Linked DNA regions of Cricetulus griseus. The protein of the gene in region 1 purifies or fractionates together with the protein of each later gene. This does not show direct contact. Links are inferred from orthologs where the notes say so. Each region holds a gene or a part of one and is shown in the gene's direction. Other genes may lie near its edges. The genes, in order: Xpo1, Nmd3, Bach1, Nxf1, Ncbp1, Nup88 and ATP-dependent RNA helicase DDX19A.

The links.
Region 2: the proteins of Xpo1 (region 1) and Nmd3 purify together in Homo sapiens (affinity purification with western blotting; 3 studies listed by BioGRID and IntAct, with this or other methods). This does not show direct contact. The link is inferred for Cricetulus griseus from reciprocal best matches to the Homo sapiens genes XPO1 and NMD3.
Region 3: the proteins of Xpo1 (region 1) and Bach1 purify together in Homo sapiens (affinity purification with western blotting; 3 studies listed by BioGRID, with this or other methods). This does not show direct contact. The link is inferred for Cricetulus griseus from reciprocal best matches to the Homo sapiens genes XPO1 and BACH1.
Region 4: the proteins of Xpo1 (region 1) and Nxf1 purify together in Homo sapiens (affinity purification with mass spectrometry; 3 studies listed by BioGRID and IntAct, with this or other methods). This does not show direct contact. The link is inferred for Cricetulus griseus from reciprocal best matches to the Homo sapiens genes XPO1 and NXF1.
Region 5: the proteins of Xpo1 (region 1) and Ncbp1 purify together in Homo sapiens (affinity purification with western blotting; 3 studies listed by BioGRID and IntAct, with this or other methods). This does not show direct contact. The link is inferred for Cricetulus griseus from reciprocal best matches to the Homo sapiens genes XPO1 and NCBP1.
Region 6: the proteins of Xpo1 (region 1) and Nup88 purify together in Homo sapiens (affinity purification with mass spectrometry; 3 studies listed by BioGRID and IntAct, with this or other methods). This does not show direct contact. The link is inferred for Cricetulus griseus from reciprocal best matches to the Homo sapiens genes XPO1 and NUP88.
Region 7: the proteins of Xpo1 (region 1) and ATP-dependent RNA helicase DDX19A fractionate together in Homo sapiens (co-fractionation; 3 studies listed by BioGRID, with this or other methods). This does not show direct contact. The link is inferred for Cricetulus griseus from reciprocal best matches to the Homo sapiens genes XPO1 and DDX19A.

Annotation. Positions count from the first base shown.
Region 1 is NW_023276807.1:83,477,863-83,481,870, reverse strand, and holds the end of Xpo1 (exportin-1), read left to right. Parts: intron 1-352; coding exon 353-521; intron 522-1,322; coding exon 1,323-1,457; intron 1,458-1,540; coding exon 1,541-1,700; intron 1,701-2,127; coding exon 2,128-2,224; intron 2,225-3,334; coding exon 3,335-3,481; 3' UTR 3,482-3,613; downstream 3,614-4,008. UniProt on the Homo sapiens protein: Mediates the nuclear export of cellular proteins (cargos) bearing a leucine-rich nuclear export signal (NES) and of RNAs.
Region 2 is NW_023276806.1:83,373,790-83,378,575, reverse strand, and holds the start of Nmd3 (60S ribosomal export protein NMD3), read left to right. Parts: upstream 1-1,857; 5' UTR 1,858-2,012; intron 2,013-2,274; 5' UTR 2,275-2,284; coding exon 2,285-2,328; intron 2,329-4,434; coding exon 4,435-4,569; intron 4,570-4,786. UniProt on the Homo sapiens protein: Acts as an adapter for the XPO1/CRM1-mediated export of the 60S ribosomal subunit.
Region 3 is NC_048597.1:9,663,290-9,667,297, reverse strand, and holds part of Bach1 (transcription regulator protein BACH1), read left to right. Parts: intron 1-1,369; 5' UTR 1,370-1,429; coding exon 1,430-1,663; intron 1,664-4,008. UniProt on the Homo sapiens protein: Transcriptional regulator that acts as a repressor or activator, depending on the context. Binds to NF-E2 DNA binding sites. Plays important roles in coordinating transcription activation and repression by MAFK.
Region 4 is NC_048596.1:51,328,672-51,332,679, reverse strand, and holds part of Nxf1 (nuclear RNA export factor 1), read left to right. Parts: intron 1-15; coding exon 16-120; intron 121-237; coding exon 238-318; intron 319-404; coding exon 405-474; intron 475-562; coding exon 563-651; intron 652-780; coding exon 781-888; intron 889-1,229; coding exon 1,230-1,339; intron 1,340-3,094; coding exon 3,095-3,131; intron 3,132-3,390; coding exon 3,391-3,459; intron 3,460-3,540; coding exon 3,541-3,596; intron 3,597-3,715; coding exon 3,716-3,823; intron 3,824-3,920; coding exon 3,921-3,979; intron 3,980-4,008.
Region 5 is NC_048595.1:97,281,783-97,285,790, reverse strand, and holds part of Ncbp1 (nuclear cap-binding protein subunit 1), read left to right. Parts: intron 1-2,944; coding exon 2,945-3,033; intron 3,034-3,571; coding exon 3,572-3,672; intron 3,673-4,008. UniProt on the Homo sapiens protein: Component of the cap-binding complex (CBC), which binds cotranscriptionally to the 5'-cap of pre-mRNAs and is involved in various processes such as pre-mRNA splicing, translation regulation, nonsense-mediated mRNA decay, RNA-mediated gene silencing (RNAi) by microRNAs (miRNAs) and mRNA export.
Region 6 is NC_048600.1:84,773,671-84,778,362, reverse strand, and holds the start of Nup88 (nuclear pore complex protein Nup88), read left to right. Parts: upstream 1-1,593; 5' UTR 1,594-1,731; intron 1,732-1,941; 5' UTR 1,942-2,016; coding exon 2,017-2,334; intron 2,335-4,692. Other genes in the region: Rpain (RPA-interacting protein), read right to left, coding at 573-743, 1,438-1,518. UniProt on the Homo sapiens protein: Component of nuclear pore complex.
Region 7 is NC_048596.1:187,392,324-187,396,331, reverse strand, and holds part of ATP-dependent RNA helicase DDX19A, read left to right. Parts: intron 1-1,272; exon of another isoform or gene 1,273-1,274; coding exon 1,275-1,410; intron 1,411-2,499; exon of another isoform or gene 2,500-2,538; coding exon of another isoform or gene 2,539-2,561; intron 2,562-3,481; exon of another isoform or gene 3,482-3,536; coding exon of another isoform or gene 3,537-3,547; intron 3,548-4,008. UniProt on the Homo sapiens protein: ATP-dependent RNA helicase involved in mRNA export from the nucleus.

The DNA of each region.
Region 1 (4,008 bases):
CTGGGACTTAGCCTAGGCTTTGTCTCAACTAGCTCTTGTTTTTATTAATCTATATCCTGCCTCATGGCTTAGTTACCTTTCCTGGACTATATGTCTAATTTCTTCAGTTTCTGCTTCTTCCCAGAGTCCTCTCTCCCCTTGGAAGTCCCACCAGTCCTCACCTGTCTAGCTGTTCGTCATTCAGCTCATTAAACCAATCAGAAGGCACCTTAGGCAGAGACACAGATTTACAAAAGATTATCCTACAGCATGTGGGTTTTTCTTTGGGGGCAATATATCTTACAGGACCTATTGATGAAGTACAGGCTTGTTATTTCCCTACCTTAATAATGTTTGTTCTCATTTCTTTTAGGATTTTGAAGAATATCCAGAACACAGAACAAACTTCTTCTTGTTACTTCAGGCTGTCAATTCTCATTGCTTCCCAGCATTCCTAGCTATTCCACCTGCACAGTTTAAGCTTGTTTTGGATTCTATTATTTGGGCTTTTAAACATACAATGAGGAATGTTGCAGATACAGGTAAATACACAGAAAAGTAGTTTAGCCCATTTGCCTGATGAATCAGAAGTATATACTATATACTAAGTCCCACTTGATACCTCTTTAATTTCTGAGGTTTCAGTTACCAGAGGTTAACCAAATTTTTAAAATGTTGAATAAATTTAAGAAATGAAAACGCAGTACTCTTTAAACAAAACAAACAAAAGAAATCCACAGGCATAGTGGACATGTCTTTCATCCTGGCACTTGGGAGGCACATGGATATATAAGTTCCAGGCCAACCAGGTTTATACAGAGAAACCCTATGTAGAAAAAGAAACAAAAAGAGAAAAAAAGAAATCAACAATCATAACCAGAAGCTAGTTTTTATGAACAGCTATTAAGAACTAAAGGAAACTGAGCATACACAAAATGCAGGCGCTCTATAAAGCATAATGAAACATGCCCCAAGCAGATTTTCATATGCACATCTTTTTTGGGGGGGTTTCAAGTCAGGGTTTCTCTGTGTAGTAAGTAGCTTTGGAGCCTATCCTGGTACTCACTCTGGAGACCAGGCTGGCCTTGAAACTCACAGAGATCCACCTGCTTGCCTCTGGCTCCCGAGTGCTGGGATTAAAGGCGTGCACCATCAATGCCTGGCTACACATCTATTTATTTAGTAAAAGCTCTCCTTTAATCCCAGCAGAGCCAGGCAGATATCTGTTCAAGGCCAGCCTGGTCTGTAGAGGGAATTTTAGGACAGGCTCCAAAAACACACAGAAACCCTCTCCCCTCCCCCATATATCTTATCAGTCTGTAATGATGTTCTATTGACTTTAGGCTTACAGATACTTTTTACGCTTTTACAAAATGTTGCGCAAGAGGAAGCTGCAGCCCAGAGTTTTTATCAAACTTATTTTTGTGATATTCTTCAACATATCTTTTCTGTTGTTACCGACACTTCACATACGGCAGGTAAGAACTGGAACCACAAAGCTACTAAGTGTTCTGGTTGTTAAGTTTTATCTTTGAATTAATAATTTGCTTCTATTCAACAGGCTTAACAATGCATGCATCAATTCTTGCATATATGTTTAATTTGGTTGAAGAAGGAAAAATAAGTACACCGTTAAATCCTGGAAATCCAGTTAACAACCAAGTGTTTATTCAAGAATATGTGGCTAATCTCCTTAAGTCTGCATTCCCTCATCTACAAGAGTAAATAATTCTGTTACTATCTTTACTATACGAGAAGGGGGGAGGGTGTGTGCATGTGAGTGAAGTTTTAAGACCAGAGGCACCACTCCCTTTGGAGCTGGATTTATAGGCAGTTGGGAGTCACCTGACATGGGCAGTGGATTCTGTTTTTAATGTTAGTTTTGTGGATAGATGCATGTGGGTGTGTGCAACTTTGTACATCGTACAGATCAGAGGGAAACATGGGAATAATTTCTTTTCATCTACTATGTGGTTTCCAGTAATGGGTCCTAGACTGACAGCAAGTGCCTTAACTCAAGTTATATTATTTAAATCTTCTAAGTTTTGAAATTTGATGGATGTGCTTGATAGATAAACAAGTGGTCTTAAACATAGTGCCTTAAATGTCTAGTTTTTAAAGATGGTTAATTTTTGTGTTTATTTGCAGTGCTCAAGTGAAGCTTTTTGTAACAGGACTTTTCAGCTTAAATCAGGATATTCCTGCTTTCAAGGAACATCTAAGGGACTTCTTAGTACAAATAAAGGTATATCTTTCTTAATCTAAGTTTTTATTTAATTTTGCTTTTTGTGAGAGGTTTACTGTGTGGACGAGGTTGGCCTTGAACTCATGCATCTGCACTTGTATACATGTGCTTGTGGAGGTCATCCTCAGACATGCTATCTACTTCCTTTGAGACCAGGATAGTCTGAAGCTTACAATTTAAGGCAGTATAGTTTCTTTAAATACCAGGCAAACATTCTGAGCTACATTCCTCAACCACCACCCCTAGCCCTGGCTGTCCTGGAACTCAGCCTGTAGACCAGGCTGGCCTTTAACTCAAGAGTGTTCAGGAGCCTCTGCCTCCTGGGTGCTGGGACTACAGGTTTGCATCACAACTGCCTGACTAATCATAGTTGTTGAGCCATTTTATCTGCTATGTTTTTAATCCTCTAGTGTTAAAGAATTGCAGTGCTCCTTGCACTTTGTTGAGGTTTTTTTAGTTTGGATTATTTGAAGTGGGATCTCACTATATGTATAGCTCTGACTGTCCTAGTACTCACTGTGTAGACAAATTGGCTCAGAGATCAGCCTGCTTCTGCCTTCCGAGTGCTGGGATTAAAGGCGTGGGCCAGATCTTGTTGAGACAGGATCTTGATGTATTGCCTATGCTTGGTACAAACCTGTGAGTTCAAGCAGTCCACCTGTGGCAGCCTCCTGAGTGCTGTGAATGTACTTGTGTACCATTATTCTTGTCATGTGATTCAGATAATGCTTGAGAGGAAAATTTGTGGTGCTAGTGAACAAGCACAGAGTTGACTTACTCAAGGCAATTTAGTGAGAATTGATGTCAGATGATCATGTACAATAAGATCATTGAGTTCTGAATGCAAAGAATATGACACGCAGAGACCCTTCTTCAAAACAACAACAAAGGATATTTAATAGGGGATAACACTACATTATTAGGCTCCCACCCCAAGTTTTGTTTTTAATTTAAGATTCTACTAATACACTTCAATTATAAATCCAAGTGACAGGTAATTTATATTTCTATTGCAAATGGCAAAATGGTTACATAGATGTCTGTCCCCCAGTCCCCCGGAGGCAACTTGAAGTTTTATTGTATTTGACCCTCAGTTGTCTGTGTTCACAGGAGTTTGCAGGTGAAGATACCTCTGATCTATTTTTGGAAGAAAGAGAAACAGCGCTTCGACAGGCTCAGGAGGAGAAGCATAAACTTCAAATGTCTGTACCTGGGATTCTTAATCCACATGAAATTCCAGAAGAAATGTGTGATTAAAATCTGAAGTCATACTTGGTTTTTTTCTCTCTGCAACATTTGTTCACAGAAGAAAACAGCATATGGATTATTTGTCGACCAAAATGATGCCAATTTGTAAATTAAAATGTCACCTAGTGGCCCTTTTTCTTATGTGTTTTTTGTATAAGAAATTTTCTGTGAAATATCCTTCCATTGTTTAAGGTTTTGTTTTGGTCATCTTTAGTTTGCATGAAGTTGAAAATTAAGGCATTTTTAAAAAACTTTTACTTCATGCCTATTTTGTGGCAAGGCTGGGGGGAGGAATTAATTTGATTTGAACATATACTTGTAAATTCTAATGCAAAATTAATTATAAAATTTTTTCTTGTAAACATTACCAATTTTAATTAGGGAGCATTTTCTTTCTAGCCTGTATCTCAGTCTAGAAGAAAAGTAATGAGTAAAACCAATTGCATTCAGAGGTTTGTTAGAGCTGCACTGTCTGGAGTTGGCACCTCAGCTGAATTGTCTGTCTCTAGACTACATGTATTAAAGTCTGTGTGTCG
Region 2 (4,786 bases), on another chromosome or scaffold:
TAAGGATATGTTGCTGTGCAGTTTTCCTTCTTCATACCATCTTCAGTTTTGGTATACAGATAGTAGTTGCTCTGTAAAGAATAGGGTATGCTTCTTTCTCAGCTCCTCCGTGGCAGAGAGTGTACAGAATTTGTGCCACCTGTTCTTGAGACATGTGCTTTAGTTCTCCAGGGAAATGATTTGGACCCGGTGGGAATGGGAGGAGTTTTCAAGTTACACATCCAATTTCCTTACTAGTTAATGAGTAACTCAAATGCTTTTATATTAGGGAGTATTACTAGTTGGTGGACCTAAGGAATTAGTCTATTTCATTCAAGTTGTTGAATTTGTCTGTGTAACTTCATCATAGAATTCCCTTATAAACTTTGCCAGTTACTTATATATCTTCTTCTGAAACTGTTGTAGAACATTACAGATTTTGTCAACTTTTGTTTCTTTGATGGAGTCTCTGCTAGAGCCAAATGGAATGCTATCAATGGACTGGTGATCTGCTTTTGCTTAACTCCACCGATAATTCATAGAAACTATTTCTGTTTTCTTAGTTTATTTCTTTTATTAACATCTTCAGAAGGATGTAACTTCGTGTCATTGTTAGGGTTACTCTTGCTTTGATGAAACACCATGACCAAAAGCAAGTTAGGGAGAAAATGTTTTTTTTTCTGCTTACGTTGCTATGTCACAGTTCATCATCAAGGAAGTCAGGACAAGCAGGGCAGGAACTTGGAGTCAGGAGCTGATGTAGAGGCCATGGAGGGGTGCTGCTTACAGGCTTGCTCCTGGTGACTTGCTTAGCCTGTTTTCTTATGGAACCCAGGACCTCCAGCCCAGGGATGGCACCACCCACAATGGGCTGAGCCCTCCTCCACCAATCACTAATTAAGAAAATGCCCTACAGGCTTGTCTACAGCTCAGTCTTATGGAAGCTTTTTTTTTTTTTTTTTTTTTTTTTATTGCGGTTCCCTCCTCTCAGATGACTTTAGCTTGTGTCAAATTGACATAAAGCTATCCAGCACACTTTGCATAGGTGAAAATATCTTTATTGGGGCTTGAGAGATGGCTCAGAGGTTAAGAAGACATGGCTTCTGTTTCCTGTACCCACAAAGTGGTTCACAACCAGTTGTCTCCTTCTGATCTCCTCTGGCATTAGACGTGCATTTAGTACAGACACACATGCAGGCGAAACACTCAAAAGAAAGTAAATTTAAGTTTCTTAGAAATATTAGGATCTCCTTTTGACACCAGTTTCTGAAACCACATTGTAACTGTTGCTTACATATCTATTTTCATCTATTTTGTGAATTCGCTTCTCAGAAAAAACATGTCCGGATTATTTCTTTAAGAATAATTTCCTTTGGTGAAAAACATTTCAGTTTTTTCTGCTTATCATTAAAAAAGTACAATGTAATCTAGGAGAACGTTATCAGATTTTTATTTTTTGTTGTTTAGTAAACAGTGATTTGATATGCTTAGGCTATCTACGGTGATATTCATATTGGGCAATTTTTAGAAAGGTTTATCTATCCTATGTATATGAGTGTTTTGCCTGGATGACCATATGTGCACCACCGCATCAGATCCTCTAGAACTAGAACTGTGGGTGGCTGAACCCACCTCGTGGGTGCTGGAAATTGAACCCAGGTAAGAACAATTGGCTTATAGTCGGTGAGCCATCTCTCCAGGTCCTATATAGAGCATCTTCAGGGTATGGGAAGGGTGAAAAGCAGAGGGAGGACTACACAACCCCAGCAGCGGTGACCAGAGCTCCCTGCCTGCTCAGCTCGCCCCGCCTCTCATGACCCGCTACCTCCATAGGCCCCGCCCTTTGCTACACGTGTACCTTACCTTTGACCCGCCCACCCTCCCCTTTCACCGGAGTCGTTTTGAACACGGAACTTCCGGTCCTGCTATCGCGAGACATTCCCAGTGGCGTTGGCCCGCTGAGGCAACTGGCAGGGAGTCCCGGCCTGGCGGGCTGCCGGTATCTTGCCCTTCCCCTTGCCACGCAGGAGCTGGTAGGTTCTGGGGTCGCGATCCGTCTCCTGGCGCCCGCACTGGCCCGTGGAGGGAGCGGGCCGGGCCCTGCACCCCGGCCGCGAGCGGACCGCGTGGGTGCGGCGGGGCAGGGCGGTGCGGAGGCCGGCTCCACGCGGGGCCGCGCGCGGCCTGAGGTCGTGTGTGGAGGACGCCTCCGAAGCCACCCACCCGGGGCCCGACCTGCACGGCCGACGCCACGGGACGTAAGGCTGCTCATCGGTCCCTCCCTTCCTTTAATAGGTCCGGAACGATGGAGTATATGACAGAATCGGTTGATCGCAGCCCCGGACACATGTGAGTCGCGAGCCTCCCTCTCCTTCCTTAGTTTGCAGATCGTGAAATGAGCCCTGGAAAACTTTGAGCGGCAGAAGCCCTTTTCTCAGTTGGAAAAAAAAATCAAGTCTTAATCCCTTAGGAAATCTAATTCATTTTAATTGATTCAGTTCATTTCTAAGTTCGATCTAGAACATGCATGCTTCATCCTAGACGACCTGCCAGAGAGGCACCGCACATACGGATGTTTTGAGTTCATAACTCAGTTCCTCCAACACACGAGCCACACACTGAGAACTCAGTAGCCACATAAAACTAGTGGCTACCGCTGGAAGTTTATTATATTTTTCTTTTGGGCAACAGTGTCAATGGTTCACAAACTTTTTTTTTTTTTTTCAAATCTACTTCAAATAGAGTCCTGCAGTGTAGCCCCAACTCCGCATGAAATTCACCCTGTAGCCAAGACTGACATTGGGAGCCTGGCCCTCCAGCCTTAGCCTCCCCAGTGCTGAGGTTATGTCAAGCCCAGTTCACAAAATTTTTCTGCTTCCAGTACACTATAGAGTTATACTTCTGTCTAGAGCTTCAGCAGATATCGATCCTGCCCTGTAGTCGGTTTTTCTTTTTAAGATTAATTTTAACGTAAAAGTTAATGCGTTTCATTATGACATTTTTATGTATACATATGTATGAGTATACATATATTTAACATTGTACAGTGCTCATATTTACCCTACTGCTGTGCTTCACTGTCTCCCGCCTCCCACTGATCCCTTTTCTCCCCCTAATAACCTTTCTGTTTTCATGTTATACATACCTTATCTTTTACCGTGGGTCCCAGTAACTGAACTGTTCCTAATGTCGTGGAGATAGTGCTCTGAACAAAGGCATCTGGTCGGATGTGACCTACACAGGGTAGTGTTTAGAAGATTAAAGAGAAACTGCACTTACATGTTGCTTGTTTTGGTTGTTTCCTTGTTTAGTTTTGCTTTTTGAAACAGTCTCACCATGTTAAGCCCCACCTGTCCTAGAACTCAGAGATCTGCCTGCCTCTGCTTCCTAAGGGCTGGGCCTAAAGGTGTGCACCATCACACTGGGCTGTCTTACTTTTTGTTCACATGGGATCTGCTTCAGTTTTTACCATTGATGTTACACTATTTTCCTTGTTAATCTCTTTTTTCCTTAGTTTTCCAATTTTAAAGAAGGGATGATGAATGACTAGAATATATCTGTCATTGCATGAAGTTCTGTTGCACAGTGCCATTGTCAGATTTTTGTTTAAATTAAAGATAAAGAAGAGGAGGAGGAGGAAGGCGCAAGATGAGACACAGGATGAGACATATTAGACATATTAACCAGTTTATTATAGGCCTGGCAGAGTAAGGAGAGTAAGAGAGAAGAGAAACAGTGTAAATGGCTGACCACCATGGCTGGTCACCATAGAGAGGGAGAGAGAGAAGAGAAGCAGAAGTAGACAGAGAAGAGGAGAAGTGTAGAGAGAGTGCAAATGGGCAGGGATCTGTCTTTTAAAGGGGTTCCCTGCAGTTGCAGCCTCCTTATTTTTTTGGGTCAATGTTCCAGGGCTCTTCTTCACTCTTTAAGATTGCTTTTTTTTTTTTTTTTTTTTTTTTCCTGTCTTAATTTGAGACAGAGTCTCATTGTGTAGTCCTGGGTGACCTGGGACTCACAGAACTGTGTTCCCTGCTTCCTGGTTGTTAATTTTAAAGGGGTTTCCCACCATGCTCAGCTTGTCCTATTTTGGCTTTAAAAGTTGTTTTACATGTGTGTGCATGAGTGTATATGTGTGTGTGCCATGTACATTCAGGATCCCACAGAGATCAGAAGAATAAGGGTTGAATCTCTTGGAACTGGAGTTATAGTTGGTTGTAAGCTGCCACTTGGGTGCTAAAAACTGTTTCCAGGTCTTTGATTTGATGGATGGATGGAGGGAGGGAGGAGGAGGGAGGAGGGAGGAGGGTGGGTGGTGGTGGGTGGGGGTGTGTGTGTGTGTGTGTGTGTGTGTGTGTGTGTGTATGTATGTATGTATGTATGTATGTATGTATGTGTTTTTTTGCCTAGTGAATTTATAAAATCTAATTGGAAAATTTTTATACTTATCTTCTCAAGCTTGTGCTGTGAGTGTGGTGTTCCAATTAGCCCAAATCCTGCCAACGTTTGTGTGGCTTGTTTGAGAAGTAAAGTTGACATCAGCCAAGGTGTTCCAAAGCAGGTCTCCATTTCTTTCTGCAAACAGTGTCAAAGGTATGGTACTGTATGTTACTTGTTTAGCTTTCTTAAGTTGATATTCATACAGAGAGCCACTGGGATGTGCTGGGATTACACCAAAGTACCAGAAGGAAGCATGTGCAATTGAGATTTAATTTTTACTTAGGTTGATGGTACCAAAGATTTTATAATTTGCGATTTCCTAATGTGCTTTCTACTGTCCTACTAATTTGGTAAAGATAGTAAAAGTCCT
Region 3 (4,008 bases), on another chromosome or scaffold:
TTCTTAGAGATTGCTTTTGTTGATAACTGAATCATGAAGACCCATTTTGAGAAGAATCAGACTGCTCCTTCTGTAAGGGTGCAACCCCAAGCTCATCCACCTTCACGTTTAATGTTGAACTTGCCGATGGTGTTGGTGGTATGCTGGGTCAGCTAAAGGAAGGCTGGATCCTTCACTGGAGGCAGAGTTTCACTACAAACCAAACGACCGTGTTTTCATGGCTTACCTGTGTAAAAGCAAACACAGATTTGAAGGGGATTTAGGAATTGATTTTTGCTTGTTTGCAGCTGAAACACCAGGATGGTGAGGTGGAGCCCGTCTGTGATCTGAGTGAACTTGAGATTTCTGCTTTCTTGGGATGGATCAAATCTGAAAGCATGACAGTGTCTCCTCCACTGACCCTCTGGGGGTCAGACAGGGAAGCCGATGTAGGAAGAAATGAGTCATGCAGAGGGGCCTAGGGCATCATCTCTGGGCGCACACCTGGGGATGCTCAGCACAGGCTGTGGGGGCTGCAGGAAAATGGCTTCCCTTAGACTCTGCAGTTAGCACAGGCTGTGGGGGCTGCAGGAAATTGGCATCCCTTAGACTCTGCAGTTACAGGTCCTCGTGTGTCTCAGGGTGTGTAGAGCAGAACAGTCCTGGCAGAAATGACAAGCACACATGTATTTGCGGTACCTCCTTTCTTTGAGTGCCAGTATTGTGCACATGCTCAAAAAAAGTTTGGAAGCCACTTTATGTCCAAATAATGACGACTTTGTCTTACACTGTAGCATTTTGAGGAAACCAAAGCTTTCTGCGCATGTTCTTTGCCTGACTTTGGCCTCCCAGAGTATAGCATGTGGAAAGTGAATTCTCAGATGTGTCCTGACACATGGGAACCCCTTTTCCTGTGCCTCCGAATGAACTTGACCTTCGGTTATTGGAGTCTCTGGAGAGGAAGCTCTGCCTTTGACTATTCTCTCCTCATTGTGGGTGAACAGGACATGGAGAATGGTGGGGTGCCCCATCCCAGCATGTGACCTCCCCGCTCTGGCCACACCGTGACCTCTCTTCAAGTAGAGGGTGGGATTTGGACTGAAGGTTTCAGCCAGGCCTTGGCTCCTATCAAACCTGCTCTCAGTATAAACTTACTTTCAGGCACCCAGCACTTCCTGAGCTCAGGACGTTCTTACTGTCTCTAAGATTTTTGCCTTAAAATTAGAATTAGTCCATCAGCCTGCTTTACTTGTGGTTTGTCCTTCTGGAGACGTTTGTCCATTTTTGTGTTAGTGACAAGTACATATTTTAATTCATGCTGACAGTTTGTTGTTTCAAACACATTTCCCCCCAGGATCTGTTAAGTGACATCTTCCCTGTGTGTTTGCAGGTCGGTGACAGTTAGAAGCATGCTTCCCACTGCTCTCCCTGACCCCGTTTGCCACCCAGGATGTCTGTGAGTGAGAGCGCACTGTTTGCCTATGAGTCTTCTGTGCACAGCACCAACGTCTTGCTGAGCCTCAATGACCAGCGGAAGAGGGATGTGCTGTGCGATGTCACGGTCGTGGTGGAGGGCCAGCGGTTCCGAGCCCACCGCGCGGTGCTGGCTGCGTGCAGCAGCTACTTCCACTCGAGAATCGTAGGCCAGACGGATGCGGAACTCACCATCACTCTGCCTGAAGAGGTGAGGGGCTACAGCGCCGTCAGTCCCAACCTGTTGTTCCCTAGCTGCCTTCTGGGTATAAGCTGAAAACAGACTCTGGTCTCCCTGGGGGGATGGGCATCTCGAGGAGCATTTCTGTAGCAACCCTTTGGGTTCTGCTACAGGAATATTCACATGTAAAGGTCTCACTTTGGATGCTAATACTTGCTGAGCAGTGGAATATGTTGAAACAACACTTGCATCTTAGTCCACCTCATAAGGTCGTAGGCATTTGGAGGGGTTGTAGCTGAGAGAGAGCTGCCTGTGTGACCAACCCTCTGAGGGACAGCTGTGACAGGTTCTCTCCTAAGACATCCCCCATGAAAAGTAGGCGCTCTCTGAGTGGATTTCTCCCTGATTTCTTTCTTCTTGAGATTGTCTTTGTGCTTTGGGAGGAAAGATGTCTTGGCCAGTGCAATGGATGGCTCAGCAGGTAAAGGCATCTGCCGCCAAGCTTGTTGACCTGAGTTCGATTCCCCGGACTCACGTAATGGAAGTCGAGAATCCTGCAGGTTGTCCTCTGACCGCCACATGTGAGCTGGCACACACCTTCCCACCTCCCCACCCAATAAACAAACAAACGTTAAAAAGCAAAATAGTTTGTTGTCTTGTTTTACACACACCTTTCCATCCCCAGTCTGTAACTTAAGCTTGTAAATACTAGGGTCTTTGTCATTGTCCTAACCTCAAGGGGCTTGTCTGAGATGGGGTGGGGCTGGTTGCACTGATTCTTCCTGGCTCTATTTATTGGGGTGTGTGCTTTGGCAGTCACTGTTCTTAATCTATTTTGACCTTGGACACAAAGAGTTTTGAGGAGACTAGGAGGAAATGTGTAGACTTCTTGTGTATGACGTACTGTGTGATGTTCCCTGTTGGGCATAGTTGGATAAAGTGCGAATTCATCTTGTGTGTTACTGTGACTGTAGTGTTGGGTGTGAGCCAAGGGTACCCTACCATTGATTTTACAGAAGAACAGTAGTCACAGCGTGGGTTTGCTTTCTACAGTTCATATTTCAGACTATTTAATGAGGCTTTACAGGTAGAACAAAGTTTGTCTAATGGGTTTGAAGAGAAGATGTTTATTTTAATCCACATCTGTATGCATAGTGCGTACATTTGGATGTTTTATGTTTATTCTGACAAAAGATATATCACAAGTTTTCAAATAGTCAACTGTCTCATCACAGGGACAGGTTGAAAACATTGCATATATTTGTTTTTTGGTATATTTTGGGAAATTTTAATTGACATTTTCATTCAGGTTATTATAAATTCAGAGTAATGCAGAATTTCTTTTACTCTTTTCTCCGTGTTCCATCGGTAACATTTTGAAAAAGTAATAATGTCCCAATAGGAATGTTGATGTGGACACAGTCCATGCATGGTGAGCTGATGGCCGCAGTGTTACATGTATTGCTCAGGCTGTGTAAGTTCTGAGGATTTCTGAATTCGCTGCTGGTTAGATCTGGATCACCAAGGATCCCGCTGCTGCTATGCTATTCCTTCCCACGCTTGGGCCCCATACTCCCCTCCCCTCTTCTGTCTCTAGGTGCTGGCAGCCACTTCTCTGTCCTCCTCTTGTGAAGTTTGGTCATTTCAAAGCGGTCATAGAAGTGGGGCAGTGCAGTGTTACGCGCCCTTTTTCACTTAGGATAATTTCCTGTTATTCGGATTTCTTGTACCAATAATTTATTCTGTGTTGCTGATGAATACTGTAATAGTTATGTCTTAATTTTCCTTTTTAAAACCTTTTCACCTGTTGAAGGGATTGAGAGTAGGTTCAATTTTTATGTGTAACAGATAAAAGTTTGTGTAGGTTTTTCTGTGTGTGTGGAAGAATGTTCATTAATCAGGGATTAAAAAAAAACAGAAGTGCAATTTCTGGTCATAAGGTAGTTTTGCACATTTTGTTTTTTTAAGAAACGACCTAGTGGTTTCTTCAAGTGGGTATTCATCTGACAGCCCTACCAGCATTGGAAGTGACCCAGTTTCATTGTTCTTGAAGAATTTAGTAGTGCTTATTTTAGTGGTTTCATGCTAAACGCTGTAAGGTTAGCATGTTTTAGGAGAGTCTTAGTATTTTGGTCAATCTGGTAGTAACTCAAAGTTTTAAGTGTAATTTGTATTTTTAACCCAGGTGAACTTTCTGTTCGAATTTGCAGGCTTTCCCACCCCCCACCCCTGCCTTGCATATACAGTCTCAGTGTAAACATACAGGTGTCTGCTCAGTTTGCCGAAGCAGCGGAGAGGTGGGGGCTTAGAGCTTTTGTAGTCTGGACTCTTAAAAATTTATTATTAGAAATAATCATTTTTAAAGATTTGGTTTT
Region 4 (4,008 bases), on another chromosome or scaffold:
TCTTCCTTCTTCCAGTTTCACTATGAAAACACACGGGCCCAGTTTTTTGTGGAAGATGCCACTACAGCTTCTGCATTAAAGGCTGTGAACTATAAGATTCACGATCGAGAAAACAGAAGGGTATGTTAGACAAAGGGCCTGGTGTGGCATAGGTTGACGCTGATGCACTGAGTGAAAAGGACTAAGTAAGTATTGGCCTACCTCAAGTATACTCTTGCCTTTGTGTCTTCTCTTCAGATATCTATCATCATCAACTCCTCTGCTCCACCCCGCAGTGTACAGAAAGAACTGAAGCCTGAACAAGTAGAGCAGCTCAAGGTGAGGCTGGCTTAAGTGGCCCAGTTGTCTTTCACTCTCCCTCAGTGATCACTAAACCCTTTCTTTGTCTGTCTCTTTTCATCTAGCTGATCATGAGCAAACGATATGATGGCTCCCAACAAGCACTTGACCTCAAGGGCCTCCGCTCAGACCCAGGTATGACAGTAGTGTCCCGGCTAGAGGGAGAGGGGGCCCAATCAGTTCGTATAACTCTCAGACTTCTTTTTCTTTTTGCTTGCTGAAGATTTGGTGGCCCAGAACATTGATGCTGTTCTTAACCGGAGAAGCTGTATGGCTGCCACCCTGCAGATCATTGAAGAGAATATTCCTGAGGTGCAGCTTCTTTTTTTGCATGAGAAAGCAAAGTGGGATATATCGGGTTGGGGCCTGATGAGGGATGAGGAACCAGACTTGCCTCTGGTCTACATGTAGTAACACTTCTAAATTTTGTTCTGTTTACAGCTATTGTCTTTGAACTTGAGCAACAACAGACTATTCAAGCTGGATGATATGTCCAGCATTGTACAGAAAGCGCCGAACCTAAAGACCCTAAATCTCTCTGGAAACGAAGTAAGGACTGATAACCTAGTGATGCTTTTTTTTTAGTTAGTGATTATGAGTGGGTGGAAGTCAGAGAACAGCTTTTGGAAGTTGGTTCTCTCCTTCCACTGTGGGTTCTTGGGCTGGAACGTGGATTGTGAGGCTTGTGCAGCAAGAGCTTCTGCCCACTGAGTGAGCCATCCCACTGGCTCTGGCTTTATTGTTATGTTGGGGGAGGGTGAGAAGAGTTTGGTTGGCCAAGGTGGTAGGCAAGAAAGGAAACTTAGGTAGCATTTGGGAGTGTGGAGATCCAACTGCTATTCTTACTTGGGTCTCTTTCTTCCCTTTTGCCCTCCCCTTATCCTTCACAGTTGAAGTCTGAGCGGGAATTAGACAAGATAAAAGGGCTAAAGTTGGAAGAGCTGTGGCTTGACAGAAACCCCATGTGTGATAACTTCCGAGACCAGTCCACCTATATCAGGTCAGTTGTAGCCTCTGTCTCCCCTCCTGGGGACCTTCACCCCCTGGGAGGCTGAGCTAATGCACCCTGACCAGAGCCTGTCTACAGGAGAACATACAGCCCTGAGCTGGAACCACCTGTCCTTTGGGAGGAGGATAACGTATTCCTTTCTGCCTCTCTGTGTCTCCCAGCTTTCTCCCAGATCTCTTTTCTTTCCTTCTCACCTGACTACTGTTCTCTGGTTTTCTGACCGTTCTCCTCCTTGAACACAGCCTTTTCTAGAATCTCCCTACCTGTTGTCCAGGAAGGGCACCTCCCATTTTCTGTTCTGATATGGGGGTGTCTTATGTATGCCCCACCCATATGATTGTCTTCAGCCAGAAGCCTAGTGTACTCAGGGTGAGAAAGTCCTCTCTAACTGGGACTATCTACTGAGATGGACCTCCTTTGTCATTTGATGGTCACTCTTGCCATTGTGCCAAGAGGGACTCTTCTCATGATCCATTTACCCAAGGCTATGGCCTGGTCTTTCCTGTCCATGCTGAGGTTGATGCCTCTGGGAGGCTGGTACCACTCTATTGGTCTCTCTAGCCCAGTGCTGTGAGCTGGGCCCTTCCTGGAGAAGAAACCTGGGTTCCCTAAGATGTGACCAAAGCCAGGGCCCCGCCAGTAGGCGAGGGGATCCCAAGGCAGGTGCTGGGCGTGGAGGCCACAGGGGCATCTGCTACCAAGGAGACAAAGAAATGACCCTGTCAGGGGCACTGCCCCTCCCTCACTTGCACACCTCACATCACCCTGCTTGGCCCCGGAGGATGGCTGGTTAGCCAGAGACGGGTAAGATTCCTCAGGGAAGGAACAACCTAAGACAGGCACAGTCGCAGAGGGGCCATCAGGAGAGAACTTGGGGGCCAACTGAGGTGGGGCACAGACCCTCACCCCCCCAACTCCGGCAGGGGCCTGAACCCTCATGTCTTCTGAGGGAGGTCTCCTGGCCCCATGGCTGCTTTACCTCCCACGCCCAGCTTAGACCGGGACCCAGGGAGCGGACAGAGACCTGGCCAACAGTGACTACAAACCACTATAGTAGGATTGATTCTCCATTTCTACCTTGGACCACAGGAAAAGGGGCAGCTGAAGGAAAGGGCTGTAGGAGGAAGGCTTTCTTTTCCCTGTTCTTTTCCCTTCAGTTCTGTCTCTGTTGCTTTGCTTCCTTTCCTTACTCCATCTCTCCCTTGTCCCTCCCCTGCCTACCTTTCTATTTCCTCTTTCCCCTGGTCTTTTTTTGCCTTCTTTCCTCTTGAGCCCTGTCTTGCTCATCTCCCTGCCCCAACATCCTGTGCCATACTTGTGGTGTGTTCTGGTCTTGGCCAAGGCCAGACCTGGCAGAACTGGTGGATACCTGTTGAGGCAGCGGAGCCCCTGGGCTCTCACCCCATTCCCTCCTCCCGGGGCTGCACAGGTGAGTAGGTGGAAGGTAAGGGGGGCAAGGTGGGGAAGGCAGCCCTAGGCTTAAAGCCTGGGCTGAGAGTGTTCCTCCTGTGGCACTCGGGATCAAGCAATGAGAAGAGACAGCCAGCCTTCAAGGCAGTCCAGAAGGGGTGCTCCTGGTGAGGAGGGGAATGGGGGTTCTTGTCCCCAAGTGCAAGCTGGGAAGGAGTGGGTGATGAGCAGGATGGGATGGGCTGTTCCTCGGGTCTTTGGTGTATTTGCTCCTAGAGCAGCCCAGGAGGCATGATGGCTCTGAAGCGTCACTCACTTCTGTCCCGTTCTTGACAGCGCCGTTCGAGAACGATTTCCCAAGTTGTTACGCCTGGTAAGTTTTGCACTTCATTCTCTCTTAAAGAAGCACAGTCAAGGTCTTGCCTCTGCTTTGTGACCACCAGTGTGGGTGTGGAGATCCCTTTGAGGATCTGCTAGCAGTGTAGCCATCACCCTAGAAAAGCTCACATGAAATTCCTGGACACACATGCCTTTTTATGATTGACTTCTGGCCTGTTTCTCTTAGCTTTTCTGTGTGCTCACAGATCTGGTCGTTCTTCTGTTTCTCATGTTACATTCCCTTTTTTTCACAGGATGGCCATGAGCTACCCCCTCCAATTGCCTTTGATGTTGAAGCCCCCACCATGCTACCACCCTGCAAGGTCAGAATTGGGGTTAGAATTAGAAATTGGTGAGTGGGAAGCATACTGGTCCTGTGATCCTAATGTCGTCTTTGATTTCAGGGAAGCTATTTTGGAACAGAGAACCTAAAGAGTTTGGTCCTGCATTTCTTGCAGCAGTGAGTATCCCAGGAGCCCCTTGGGTGGGGGGTTAGTTACTGGCCTATGCATAGCTCACTACTGTGTCCCTTTGCTTTCAGACACAGAACTCAGACTCTTCCTTTCACTTTCCTTACAGGTACTATGCAATTTATGACTCAGGAGACCGTCAGGGTCTCCTGGATGCCTACCATGATGGCGCCTGTTGCTCACTAAGCATTCCTTCCATCCCCCAGAACTCTGCCCGGTGAGTGTCACGTGTCAGAACCTACCCATAACCACAGGATTCATTGGGATACAGGCCACAGTTCTTATCACCACCATCTTCCCCTCCTATTTTCCAGAAGCAACTTAGCTGAATACTTCAAAGACAGCAGAAATGTGAAGAAGCTTAAAGATCCCAGTAAGTATGTCAGTCAAATGGAAATAGTC
Region 5 (4,008 bases), on another chromosome or scaffold:
CTCCCTCTCCCATTCAAGTGTTAGGATTAAAGGTGTGCTCTACCATATCTGGCTCAACCTGCTTTCTTATAAAACCCAGGACTACCAACCAGCCCAGGGGTGGCACCACTTGTAATGGACAGGTCCCTCCACTGTCAGTCACTAATTTAAAAAATGTTCTGCCGGCTTGTCTACAGCCCAGTCTTGTGGAGACATATTCCCTATTGGGTTCCTTTCTCTGACATCACTAACCTGTGTCAAGTTGACAAAATTAGCCGGCACAATTGACTCCTTGTCAGTTTGACATACTTTACTTAAGACATAACCTTTCCCTTTTTTTTCATCTCCAGTATCTCAGATTAATAAATAACACAAATATAAAACATATTACAAACGTAAGAACCCAACAGTCTTTACCAATGCAAACACTTTGGATTTTAAAACTTTTAAAGTCTCAAAAATAAGTTGCTTTTTTATTCAAGAGGCAAGAACCAGAGCACATTCACAGTCTGAACAAAGCAAATCCAAACTCCCACCTATAAATAACTCTGTGTCCAATGTCTGGGATCCACTCATGATCTTCTGGGATCCTCCAAGGATCTTGGGTCTCTTCTCTTGCTTCACTCTCTGCAGCACACACAGCTTGTCTCTTAAGCTCTGGCAGGTTCCACTCCATCCGTGCAACTGTCCTTGGTCATACCATGTTACTGGCCTCTCCAAAATGCTGGGGTCTTGTCTGCAACTGGGCTGCTCTTTCACCAATAGCCCTTTCCGGGGCTCTCTTCACAGTGCCAAGCCTCAGCTACTCTTCATGACCCCTTTGATCGTGGGCCTTCAACTGCTGTGGAGGCTGCACCTTCCTCAGTGGCTCACCTTAGGTTCTGAGCCTCAGCTGCTCAGGGATGGCACCATCCACAATGGGCTGGACCCTCTCCCATGATCACTAATTAAGAAAATGCCCTATAGACTTGCCTACAGCCAGATTTTATGGAGGTATTTTCTCAATTGGGGTTCCCTTCTCTTAAATGACTCTAGCCTGTGAATAGTTACATAAATTTAGCCAGCACAGGGACTCACTGATTTGCCCTGGCTGTCCTAGAACTGTAGGTAGACCAGTCTGGCCTCAAATTCAGTGATCCACCTGCCTCTGGCTCCCTAATGGTGGATTTAAAGACCACAATACCAGGCATATGTTAGCTTTTTGATGTGAATTCTAGGGATCAAACTTGGCCCTTCATGCTTGAGTAGCAAGTATTCTTATGCACCAAGCCATCTCTCCAGCCCCCCCCCCAAAGTATTTTTAATAAAGGTGCTGTATTCTGCTTCTGTGCTCTCACTCGGACTGTCTGCTGAGTTCAGTGTCTTATTACTGTCCATGGGTTCAGACTGTGATCGGTAGCACTCACATGTACCTTTCATACCCTCTCAAGTATCAGGTAAGAAGAGTGACTCTTCACATTCTAGTACTTTCAGTTTTCTCCAGATAAACCTTGGCTGGATAGCCACAGCAACACAGAAGTTAACAGTTCAGAGATATGACTATGTGCCTGTATTTTCTCATTGTCTTTAGAAAGTCTGCCTTGTCTCCCCAAAGCAGTGATTTCTGTGTGTCAGGCTTACAAGAGGACATGGAAGAAATGTTTGGAAGACAAAAATGGTTGCAAACTGGAACAATGTATAATTAGGAGGGCTTTGGGATGTGATAAAGGATTAGTATAGTAGATGGGCCAGAAGGAAGGAAAAAGTTTGAAAAGGTTTAGAAAAACAGCTGCTCTCATTCAGCTAGTTTTTCACTCTGTATTCTCTGACCCTCACCTAAAATCTGGTTCTGAATAATAATGAAGAACACTGTTGGTGCATTATGCATTCTGAAGCAGTTTCTTAGCATCAGCACTGTTAAGTTTAAAGTCATACTTTAAATAAAAAATTTCCAGCAGAGTCAACTTGTTTCTAAATCCTTATTTCAGCAGTTTCTGCAGTAATTTAGTTACATCATCAGTTTAACAAGTACGGTTGACACTATGAGGTTTAGGAACCAAAAACTGTGGGTCAGTAAGCAAGTTAAAAGAATGGAAGCAGCAGTACTCAGATTATGGGTGTTTGGTGTGTTGGTGCCCTTCAGTGTTTCCGAAGAAGTGGACATTGCTTACACAAATCTAACTGAAAAAATGCCTCCTGACATTATTCTTTATAGTGACCTTAATAACAGAGACAATGTGAGGCATTGGAAAGATGGCTCAGCAGTTAAGAGCACCAACTGTTCTTCTCAAGAACCTCTGTTTAATTCCCAACATTCACATTGTGTCTTACAGAAGTCCATAACTCCAGTTACAAGGCATATGAATCTCCCTTCGGGCCTCCACTGGCTCCTGACATACAAGTGGTACATAGTTATACATATAGCCCAAACATCTGTACATATAAAATAATAAAAAAAAATTAAATATATATAAACGCACATGCATAGAGAGGGAGAGACTGGGGTCTGGAGAGGTGGCTCAACAGTTAAAAGCATTTACTACACAATCATGAGAACTGGAATTTGGGTCTCAGCACTCTAAGTGTGTGCAGTATATGTCTTTAACCACAACTTCAAGAGAGTGAAGACAGGAGGATCACTAGGAGTTACCATCATCCTAGCTAAGAAAAGTGAGCCCCAGGTTCGGGAGAGACCTTGCCTTAAAGAATAGTGTGGTGGAGGACACCTAGCACCCTCTCCTGGCTGTATATGAGTGTACTAGCATGGGAACCTGTATACATGTGTGCATCCACTTACGTACACACAAATCTAAAAGAATGCGGGATAGAAATTGTCCAGGTATACCTAGACTAGTTAAAATGTGATTGGTTAGAGCTACTCTAAAAAACATAGTCTGATGGAAAAGAGGTTAAAGGCTAACAAGGTGACAAAAATTGTGATAGTAGAGTCATCATGTAATTTTTTTTTTTAATGTTTCTGAAATAGGTGGACAACCTCACAAAAGGAGAAAGACCTCTGATGCAAATGAAACTGAAGATCATTTGGAATCTTTAATATGCAAAGTAGGGGAAAAGGTAGGTATGCATCAAACCCAGGGGTTAGGGTTGTGGCTGACAGCTTTGATTAATTTCTGAAGTTGTAGTGGGTGATTCAAGTTACAGACAAAGTGTGTGTTATTACTGCACATCTGTATCCCAATGGGAATGTGTTTTGGTAATTTTCATTAGACAAGCCTTAAAATAGACCTGAGGATAGTCCTCAGCATGATGACCTGAAGCAGACTTGGATACCTCAGACAGCAGAGGGTGATTAGTGAGAGTGATGGAGCACAGCCCATGCTGTCCCCACACTTGGGATGGATGCACATTCTGCTTAGACTGTTTTGAAGATTTTGTTGACTCTCTTTTCATAGAATATAATTCTAATGAACAGTAACTACTCGGATTTATTACTGCTAAGTGAATTTTCTACAAAATTGTCCTTAGTTCTTATTTTTCTTCCCCACAGTGCCTTATAGAAGACCTTAATGTTTTATGGTCATCTAGGAATTTTAACTTTTAAGTCATTGATTGCTTGAGCGCTAACAGATAATTAATGTGATGTCCTCTGCAGAGTGCCTGCTCTTTGGAGAGCAATCTAGAAGGCTTGGCTGGTGTTTTGGAAGCTGATCTTCCTAACTACAAGAGCAAGATCTTAAGGCTTCTTTGTACAGTGTATGTATGTAAAAGATTTGTGCATCAGGTGATAATGTATTATCTACTCTTATGTGCTTTGGGGAATGTGCAGAGGATGTGTTTACATTCCATGTCACTGGCCTCCCTTCCATCCTGAAACTCCTGCTCATGAGATGCTCCTCTTGCCCTTTGTTCAACTTATTTTTTTCTTTAAAGGGATACATAGAGCTAAAATGAAGTGGTTTTCTTATGTTTTCTTTCTTAGAATTTTGAAATCATTTGAGTTAATTTTTTAACTCAGAAAATAGATGAGAAAGTAGATGTCTTTTTCAGCTCAGACCCTTTCCCCCATCAAGGCATGCACATTTGCATGTT
Region 6 (4,692 bases), on another chromosome or scaffold:
AACAGTGCTTTGATGGTTTCAAAGGGTTTCATGTTTTGCTACACAATTTTCATAATGCTCGAGCCATCCTCTCTATTTTATGTAAATATAAAAACTAAGGTTCAAAGAAACACAGTAAGGTTTAGAGTCAGTAAAACTAAACAGAATCCCTGATACAAACTTATAGCCTTCCTTGATACATTGTAAATGGTTTTCTATGGACACACAACTCCCAACTGATTGGCTGGAATCAGAATGTTGCTGTAGACATCCTTTTCAAAGTGATGTCCCTAACCCATTCCTAATCAGTCAACATTTTCAAGGGGGAAAGCAAGAATGAATGACATTTTCTTTCCTTTTAGCTTCATAAGTTTAGTTTCATTACAAGGTTGCAACATGCCTACAATCTAGTATTGCAGAACCATCAATATAAAATCAATACTCAAAATTAGAAAAACCTGAGCAAAAAAGCTGTTAGAACTATGCTTGGGGGCTGGGAGGTGGGTAGGTTGAAAAGACAGGGAAAAACTGATAGAAAGATGTTAGCACAAGTTCTTCATGGAGTGTCTGCTAGCTACAGACCCTTGCCTGACCTGAAACAAGGCTTCTGGACAATTCTCTACAGACTTCAAAGAGTTCCACTCTTCCTCCATCACTTCTTGCACAAGAAATCTGTCTGAGGCTTTCCCTGGTGTGCCACCTCCAGCCTGGCGGTACCTGGCCAGGAGCCTGTGCCGGCTGTTTCTCATTCTCTCGAGACATCCCTGTGGGAAAGGAGTCAGAATAGTAAAAGAAAGAAAAGGTCAATTCCACTAAAAAAGAAAGGAAAAAAAAAAAAACAAACCTCTAACTAGTTCGTAAAACTATTTTAGTTTTAGATGCAAAATTTTGTATTCTCAAGTCCTCACCCACACACAGATAGGTAAAATTACAGTGCTTTGCTCATGTATCTCCAGATTCCTGTAGTTCACATTTTATCTTGAATGCAAGCAGTCGGGTGCATAGTAACTGCATCCACAGACTGACGTCAGACATTTATATAGCTTCCAAATTCCTGCTACTGTACATAATGCTATAGTGATGATCTTCTTACACAATAGTACTTCTCAACCCTGATGGTTTTTTTTAAAATGTATACATGTGTGTGCCTGTATGAGTTTATGTGCACTGCATCAGTGCAGGTGACCACAGAGGCCAGAAGACGGCAATGGTGGCGCTCTTGGAACTGGATTTACAGCCACCAGGTCTGCTGCAAGGGCATAAGTGCTCCCTCCTAACACTTCACCATCTCTCTACCCCAACTCAGGACGACTTTTGGTAGTCTTGAATTCAAGATTCACCTCCGCTGGCCAGGCACTCCGGGCATCTGCTTCATGACCAATGCTGAAGTGAGGGCACAGAGATCAGCGGTCCTAGGGACGATTAGGGAAGTGATAACGAGCCAAATCTCACACTCACCTGCCTGAAAGCTTCTTTCCAGGGCGGCGAGCCCACCTGTTTATACAACAGGCGGTGCGGAGACCCCGAGGACTCTGCCATCTCTTAGCGGGAGGCGGCTCCCGAATCCCCGCCCCTTAGCCGCGCGCAAAGGATACTGGAAGTTCTAGTTTCTGGGTGCTGATCGCCCTTCAGGTGGCGAGGTTTTCTTGGAACTGTCTCTAGTGGCTATCCGCTCACAGACAGGTTTAGAGGAATCCAAAGACGGATGAAGCTGTGACAGTTGAGAAGTAAACACCACCTGGGCTGAGGGAGGTGAGTCTTGAGAGAAAGTTCTGGGTCTACCCGGAGGGAGGCGTCAGTAGACAACTAGACACACACGTCTCCTTCACCCTTCCAAAACCGTCTCTAAGCCGGCGATGTGGTTGACCACGCCCCGCCCCGCCCACTTTGACGTCAATCTGCGGCGCCGTAGATTGGCTTTTCTCTAGTGATGCCTGTCCTCGGGTTCCTACTCGCTGATAGGCTGAAGCTGTGGAGAGCTGGTCGCGGATTGGCTACGCGCCGCGGCGGGCCAGAACCGAGAGCTGTTGGTTCGAGATGGCGGCTGCCGAGGGGCTTGCGGGTGACGGGGAGCTGTGGCAGAGCTGGCTTCCTAACCATGTCGTGTTCTTGCGGCTCCGCGAGGGCCTGAAAAACCAGAGTCCAGCCGAAGCGGAGAAGCCAGCGGCTTCGACTTCGCCCTCGTGCCCGCCCCAGCCGCCGCATTTGCTGACGAGAAACCTGGTGTTCGGCCTCGGAGGGGAGCTCTTCCTGTGGGACGCGGAAAGCAGCGCCTTCTTGGTGGTTCGCCTTCGAGGTCCCGGCGGCGGCGGCGGCGGCGGCGGCGGCGTGGAGCCCCCTCTCTCCCAGTACCAGGTGCGCCCGTCCGTCTTGAAAGCGACCCTTAGCCGGCCTCTCACCCAACTTTGAGGTCCGCTTCGCGTCTTGGTTGTTGGGCTCTGTCGTGGGAGTGGTAGCGGACACCCCGCTTCGAGTGGAAAAGCCCCTCTTTGATATTTTTATCCCTCTCCAGCTTGTTTGTTATTTCGGTCACTGCCAGGCACTTAGAGGAGCTCGTGCTGTTTAGGTGCTGGCTTTCTGAGTGTCTGGGGTGAAAAAGACAGAACCGTGAAATGAGAAAAGCACAGCAGGGTAAGAGAAGTTGGCGGAGATGTTTTTAGCTGTTTGACCAAAAGAACCTTGTGACACATTCTTTTTGTTTTTTGTTTTTTGTTTTTTTTTTTGTGGGCTTTAAGACGGATTTAAAAGGACCAAATTACCTGCCTGACGTGAAAAGAGAATCCCTGTATTTTGGTTTTGGTTTTGACCTTTTAGGCCCTCACTAAAGTTGGAAAGGCTTGTTCGTTTGTTTCAGAGCAGGGAACCAACACACGTGCACACACTCCCATTAACACACACCTTCGCCTTCACCGGGGGAAACATAGGAGTTCCAACTCTGAGCTAGGTCTTCAAACTTTTTTGTTTTTGATGAGCCAATGAATGGCTTGTGAAAGTTGATATAATCACAGTGTATTCTATTCTAGACTTGCTGTAACCGAATACTGCTTTATTGAACTGTTCATTTGTAGTAAACTGATACTCTTTCAAAGACACACCCCCTGTATATTTCAATCATAATTTGGGAAATTCACATCATGCACCCCAATCCCGCCCACCTCCCAGTCCCTCCAAATCTGCCCCTCATCCTGTAGCACCCCCCCAACTCTACCAAAAAACAATTAGTTAAAAACAAACAAAAAACCACCTCGCTCCTCAGTTAAAGACTTTTTTTTTTTAAGCCAGGATTGGTGGCACAGGCCTTTAATCCTGGCACTTCAGAAGCAGAGGCAGGAAGGTCTCTTTGAGTTTGAGGCCAGCCTAGTCTACATAGTGAGTTATATATATATATATATATATATATATATATATATAGAGAGAGAGAGAGAGAGAGAGAGAGAGAGAGAGAGAAGAGAGAGAGAGAGAGACCCTGTCTCAAAAAGAAAAAAAGGAGCAAGCAAGCAGACAAACAAGCAAAAAAAAAAAAGAAAACCCAAAATGTGACATTCATTCTAATGTATGAGATGTACTGTGTGCCCTGGACCAACCAGTTCTTACTAAGAAGTGATTTGATTTTAACAAGGTGCAGCCAGGGCTGTTGAGAAACTACGTCAACATTTACACATCTACCGCTGTAAAATTCCCATTACGAATAAGTATCAGAAATTCACACATACTTCAGTAAATTATTTTGTTTTGATTTTTTTCTCCCCTTTGGTTATGTATCCCAGGCTGGTCTGGAACTCCTGCTTCGGTCTCTGAGTGTTGAGATTACACGTCTGAGCCAGGCCATCGTTCGTGTGTGTGTGTGTGTGTGTGTGTGTGTGTGTGTGTGTGTGTGTGTGTGTGTGTGTGTGTGTCAGAGAGAGAGAGAGGGGGGGGGGGACCACAGTTAACAGACTGACCACATGCTCCTGATCTTAAGCCCTGCTTCTGCCTGACTAAAGGTGGATAACTTCATACCTGGTTCCAGTACACTGTTCAGTTTTTGGTTAATAACGTGTTCATGCTTTGTAACATTTAGTGCAGTAATATGCAGTAATAATTACTTTAAAACTTTTGTTTTATTTTCTCATTTGTAAACACCAAAACAGAGGCTATGTTTACCTTTTTTATATCCAGTACTTGTCATAAACCTAGAGCATGTAAGAGCTCTGTATTATTTGGTGACTTTTTTTTCTTTTTCTTCTTTGTTTTTTGAGACAGGGTTTCTCTGTGCAGCAGCCCTGGCTGTTCTGCAACTTGCTTTGTAGACCAGGCTGGCCTCAAACTCAGAGATCAGACAGATCCTGTTAAGAACTGGAATTAAAACTGTGTTCTGTCACTGCCCAGCTCTGCAACAGGCATTTAAAGACACGCTAGCCTACAGATATAAAAACAATTAGAAATCTCATTATATTCAAAAAAGCCTTATCTTAAATGATTAAATGCATGGTTCTCCATACACAGGTAAATAATATGTTGACAGTCTCATTATTTACTAAGAGTAAAAAGAAAAAATAGAAATCTGAAATGGTCATGAGAAAAGAAATAGGAAGTACCAGTATAGAAGTGAGTATTTTTGAGGATGTGTGATGTGATGACAAATTATTACAACTCCCTTAAAATTATCACTCTTTGATACTGAACACAGATAAATCAGTACTGTTTGCTGCAAAGCTCTTGAAGTTAATCTAG
Region 7 (4,008 bases), on another chromosome or scaffold:
CTATCCCTCTCCTGCCATGCTATTGCCCATCCAGTTCTTTATTAGACCAATCAGGTGTTCTAGACAGGCAGAGTAACATAGCTTCACTGAGTTAAACAAGTGCAACTTAAAAGAATGCAATGCATTTGCATCATTAAATGAATTGTTCTACAGTATAAACCAATGCAATGCATTTTCAACTAATATTCCACAAAAGTGTGCTGAACTTGAAGCCGAAGAAATTGCCAACAGTGGTATGGTGTGTCAGATCTGGGAGGATGGCTTCATTCAATAGAGTGGCCTGCCCCCCATGAAGTTGTGACCTGGGTTTGTACCCCCAGTTTGTACCACATGAAAATCATGAGCAGTAGCATTCATCTGTAAGCCTAGCTCTGGTGGTGGATGTAGGAGTGGGTGGTATGACAACAGAGGGATCCTGAGCTTTCTGCCCAGCCAGCCTAAAAAATTGAGAAACTGCAGGCTCATTGAGAGATCCCCATCTCAAAAAATAAGGTGATGAAGCATTTGAGGCAGATGTATGATGTCAATTTCTGACCTCTACACTCATGTACACACATACTTGCGCACACCTTTGTACTCAAAGAAACATACATTACACACACACATACAAAAAGCAAAAGGGGGGCTGGAGAAATGACTCAGTGGTTAAGAGCACTGGCTTCCCTTCCAGAGGTCTTGAGTTCAATTCCTGACAACCACATGGTGACTCACAACCATCTATAATGAGATCTGGTGCCCTCTTCTGGCCTGTAGGCATACATGTAGGCAGAAAACTATATATATAATAAATAAATCTAAAAAATAAAATAAACATTGAAAAAAAAAGCAAAAAGGGAATGTGTGTCAGGCTGGACATGTACCTCAAGGGCAGAACACTTGTCTTGTGTATACTAGACTCTGAGTTCTATCCCCAACACTGGAGAAACAAAAAACAAAAGGGTGTCACTATAGGTGATAAAGTGATTTAGAAGCATCATATGCTTTCAGTCTTAGCTATTTGGGAAGCTAAGGCAAATGACATTTAAAACAAAACAAAAAATAGCTTATTCATTACAAGGGCAGGAATTCCAGAAGTTGGGTCCCTGTGACAGAAGGATGCTGTGAGTTCGTGTGAGACAGTATCTCTAATAAATTAAAAATGGAAAGGGAGTGGAATTTGGCTTTTCTCCAACTGTGAGTGCTCGAAAACGTCTGATGCAGAAACGGGTTGCGTATTTTCTCAAGGGCAGGCCTTACCTCATTCGGATGAAGAAAATCTGTTTTCTTCCTCACAGAGGATAGAGCTGCTCAGTCTTTACTCAACAAGCTCATCAGAAGCAATCTTGTGGATAACACCAACCAAGTAGAAGTCTTGCAAAGGGACCCAAACTCTCCTCTTTACTCAGTGAAGTCTTTTGAAGAGCTTCGCCTGTGAGTATCCATCGCTTTGAACAGCTGTTACCCAGTCCCAGTGAAAAAATATCTCTGAACTGGGCATGATGGTGCACACCTGTAAATGGATCTCTCGGAGTTCAGTCTAGCCAGAATTAGGAAGAGAGATCCTGTCTCAAAAAAACAACAGCAACAACTAAAAGCCAGTGGTGATGGCACATACCTTTAGGAGGCAGAGGCAGGCCTGTCTTCAGGGTAAATTCCAGAACAGTCAGGGTTACATTCTCTGGACTTTAACTTTGGCTTTAAAAAGAAAGGGTTTTTTGTTTGTTTGTTTGTTTGTTTGTTTGTTTTTAATCATACTTATGTCTTTGAGTAGGTAATCTACATGATTTGCCAGGCAGCTGTGGCTCATGCCTTTAACCAAAGCACTCAGGAGGCAGAGGCAGGTAGATCTCTGAGTTCCAGGACAGCCAGAGCTACACAGAAAAGCGCTGTCTGGAAAAAAAAACACAAACTAACAAATAAACCTAATTATTCAAACATTAGTGTGGGAGGGTAGAAGGTTGTAATAGAATAAGTACTTAGCAAATTTGAAGTCGTGTGTTTGATCCCTAGCACTGCACAAAGCAGGCATTAGATGGCACACCTGTAATCCCAGCGTTTGGGAGATTGTGCAGGCAGGAGGATCTTTTTAAAAACTCAAGGTCATTCTAGACTATACAGCAAGTTTGAGGCCAGCCTAGGACAGAGGAAACTATATTGAACACGTTTACAGTGACGGTCTTCTCTCTTGGCTACCCTTTTTCTTCCAGTATAACTTTTTCTTTTTCTTTGGATACTAATTCTCAGTGGCCTGGTAGTGATATAGGCCCATGACCTAGCTGCTTTGAAGTAAGAGATTCAGAAGTTTAGGACCTGCCTGGGTCACAACATGCATGTGGCATCTTGTATGTTGCCCTTACAAGCTTTGGACACCTGGGCTCAAGGAGCCTCCCACCTGAGCCTCACGGGTAGCTAGGACTATAGATGTGGGAACAACAGTACATGATTTTCTTAGTAGAAACTGAAATGCTACAGATTTATTCATCATAGCTGAAAATCTTTTTTTTTCTTTTATACTCTTAGAACTTTGAATAAAAATATTGGCTGACAGGTGATTTCTGGATGTCAGAAACATGTCTTATTAGGTAAGCCCTTTGGAAGTCTACAGGCTTTACAAACATTAGCCTGCTTTTAGAAACTGCCTGAAGAGCCTGGATTCCTGACACCTAAAATACATCGAAGCCTTTGATAGACCAGCTTTGAGGGAAGGAACCCCCTAACGATAAAATGTACTTAATAGCTCTCAGAAGGGGTTTTCTGGGTTTTTTGTTGTTGTTGTTGTTTTGGTTTTTTTTTTAGATTTATTTATCTTTATTATATATGTGTAGGTGTTTTGCTCGTATGTTTGTGTGTGCAATGCCTGCAGACCAGAAGAGAACATCAGATCCTCTGGAACTGCAGTTACATACTGTTGTTAGCTGCCATGTGGTTGCTGAGAATCAAACCCAGGTCCTCTGGAAGAGCTGCAATTGCTTTTAACCACTGAGCCATCTCTCCAGCCCCAGGGTTTTCTGTTTTTAATTATTTGAGCTGTATAGCACTGTGACCGTAGTCAGCACCACTGTGTCTGTAGTCAACACTACTTTGTACTCAACAATACTGTGTCTTAGTCTGCACTACTGTGTGGTCAGCACTACTGCACTGACTACTTGAGAATGCCTAATGCATGGAGCTGTTTTGGCAAATACTGTGTGTGAGAGAGAAACACATTTCTCTCTGAACTTGGAGGACATGTATTCAGCTAGAGATCCCAGGGATTCTTGGGTCTCCGCACCCCTGTTAGCACTGGATTATAGGCATATGCTACACATATAATCCCAAATCCTCTTGCTTGTGTAGCAAGCACTTTACCAACTGAGCTATTATACCACAATCATTTTTTATTACTAAAAAAAATAACCTTTTAGAGATAAGAGTTTCATATAGCACGTGCTGGTTTCAAACTGCTTTTGACTGAGGATGAATTTGAACTTCTCATGTCCTACCCTTATCTGCCGTATGCTAGGTTTATTGGCATGTGCCACCACCAGGTCTGGTTCATTTGATTCTGGGACTGTTCCATGCATGCTAGGTAAGCATTCCACCAAGTAAGCTACATCCCCAGCCCTTATTTTTATTTGTTTGTTTGTTTTGTTTTGTTTTTCAAGATAGTTTCTCTGGGTAGCTTTGTAGACTAGGCTGGCCTTGAACTCATAGAGATCTGCCTGCCTCTACCTCCTGAGTGCTGGAATTAAAGGCATGTGCCACCACTGCCCAACTGATTTTCATGGTTTCTCAGGGAATTAGGCTTGAAAGTGTTTCTTTGTCAAAGGGTTTATTAATTTATTCACCAATTTGTCATCTGTTCCTGCTTTTTTTTACTTTTGAGCCAGTTTCTCAGTATAGCCCAATAGCTCACTTTGTAGACCAGGCTGGCCCCAAACTCAGAGATCCGCCTACCTCTGCAAGTAAAATTGTTCACAACTGCCCTACAGAATTTTTTTTTTAAATTAAGCTGTGTTCTTTTATGCATGAGTGCTTTTGCCTGCATAT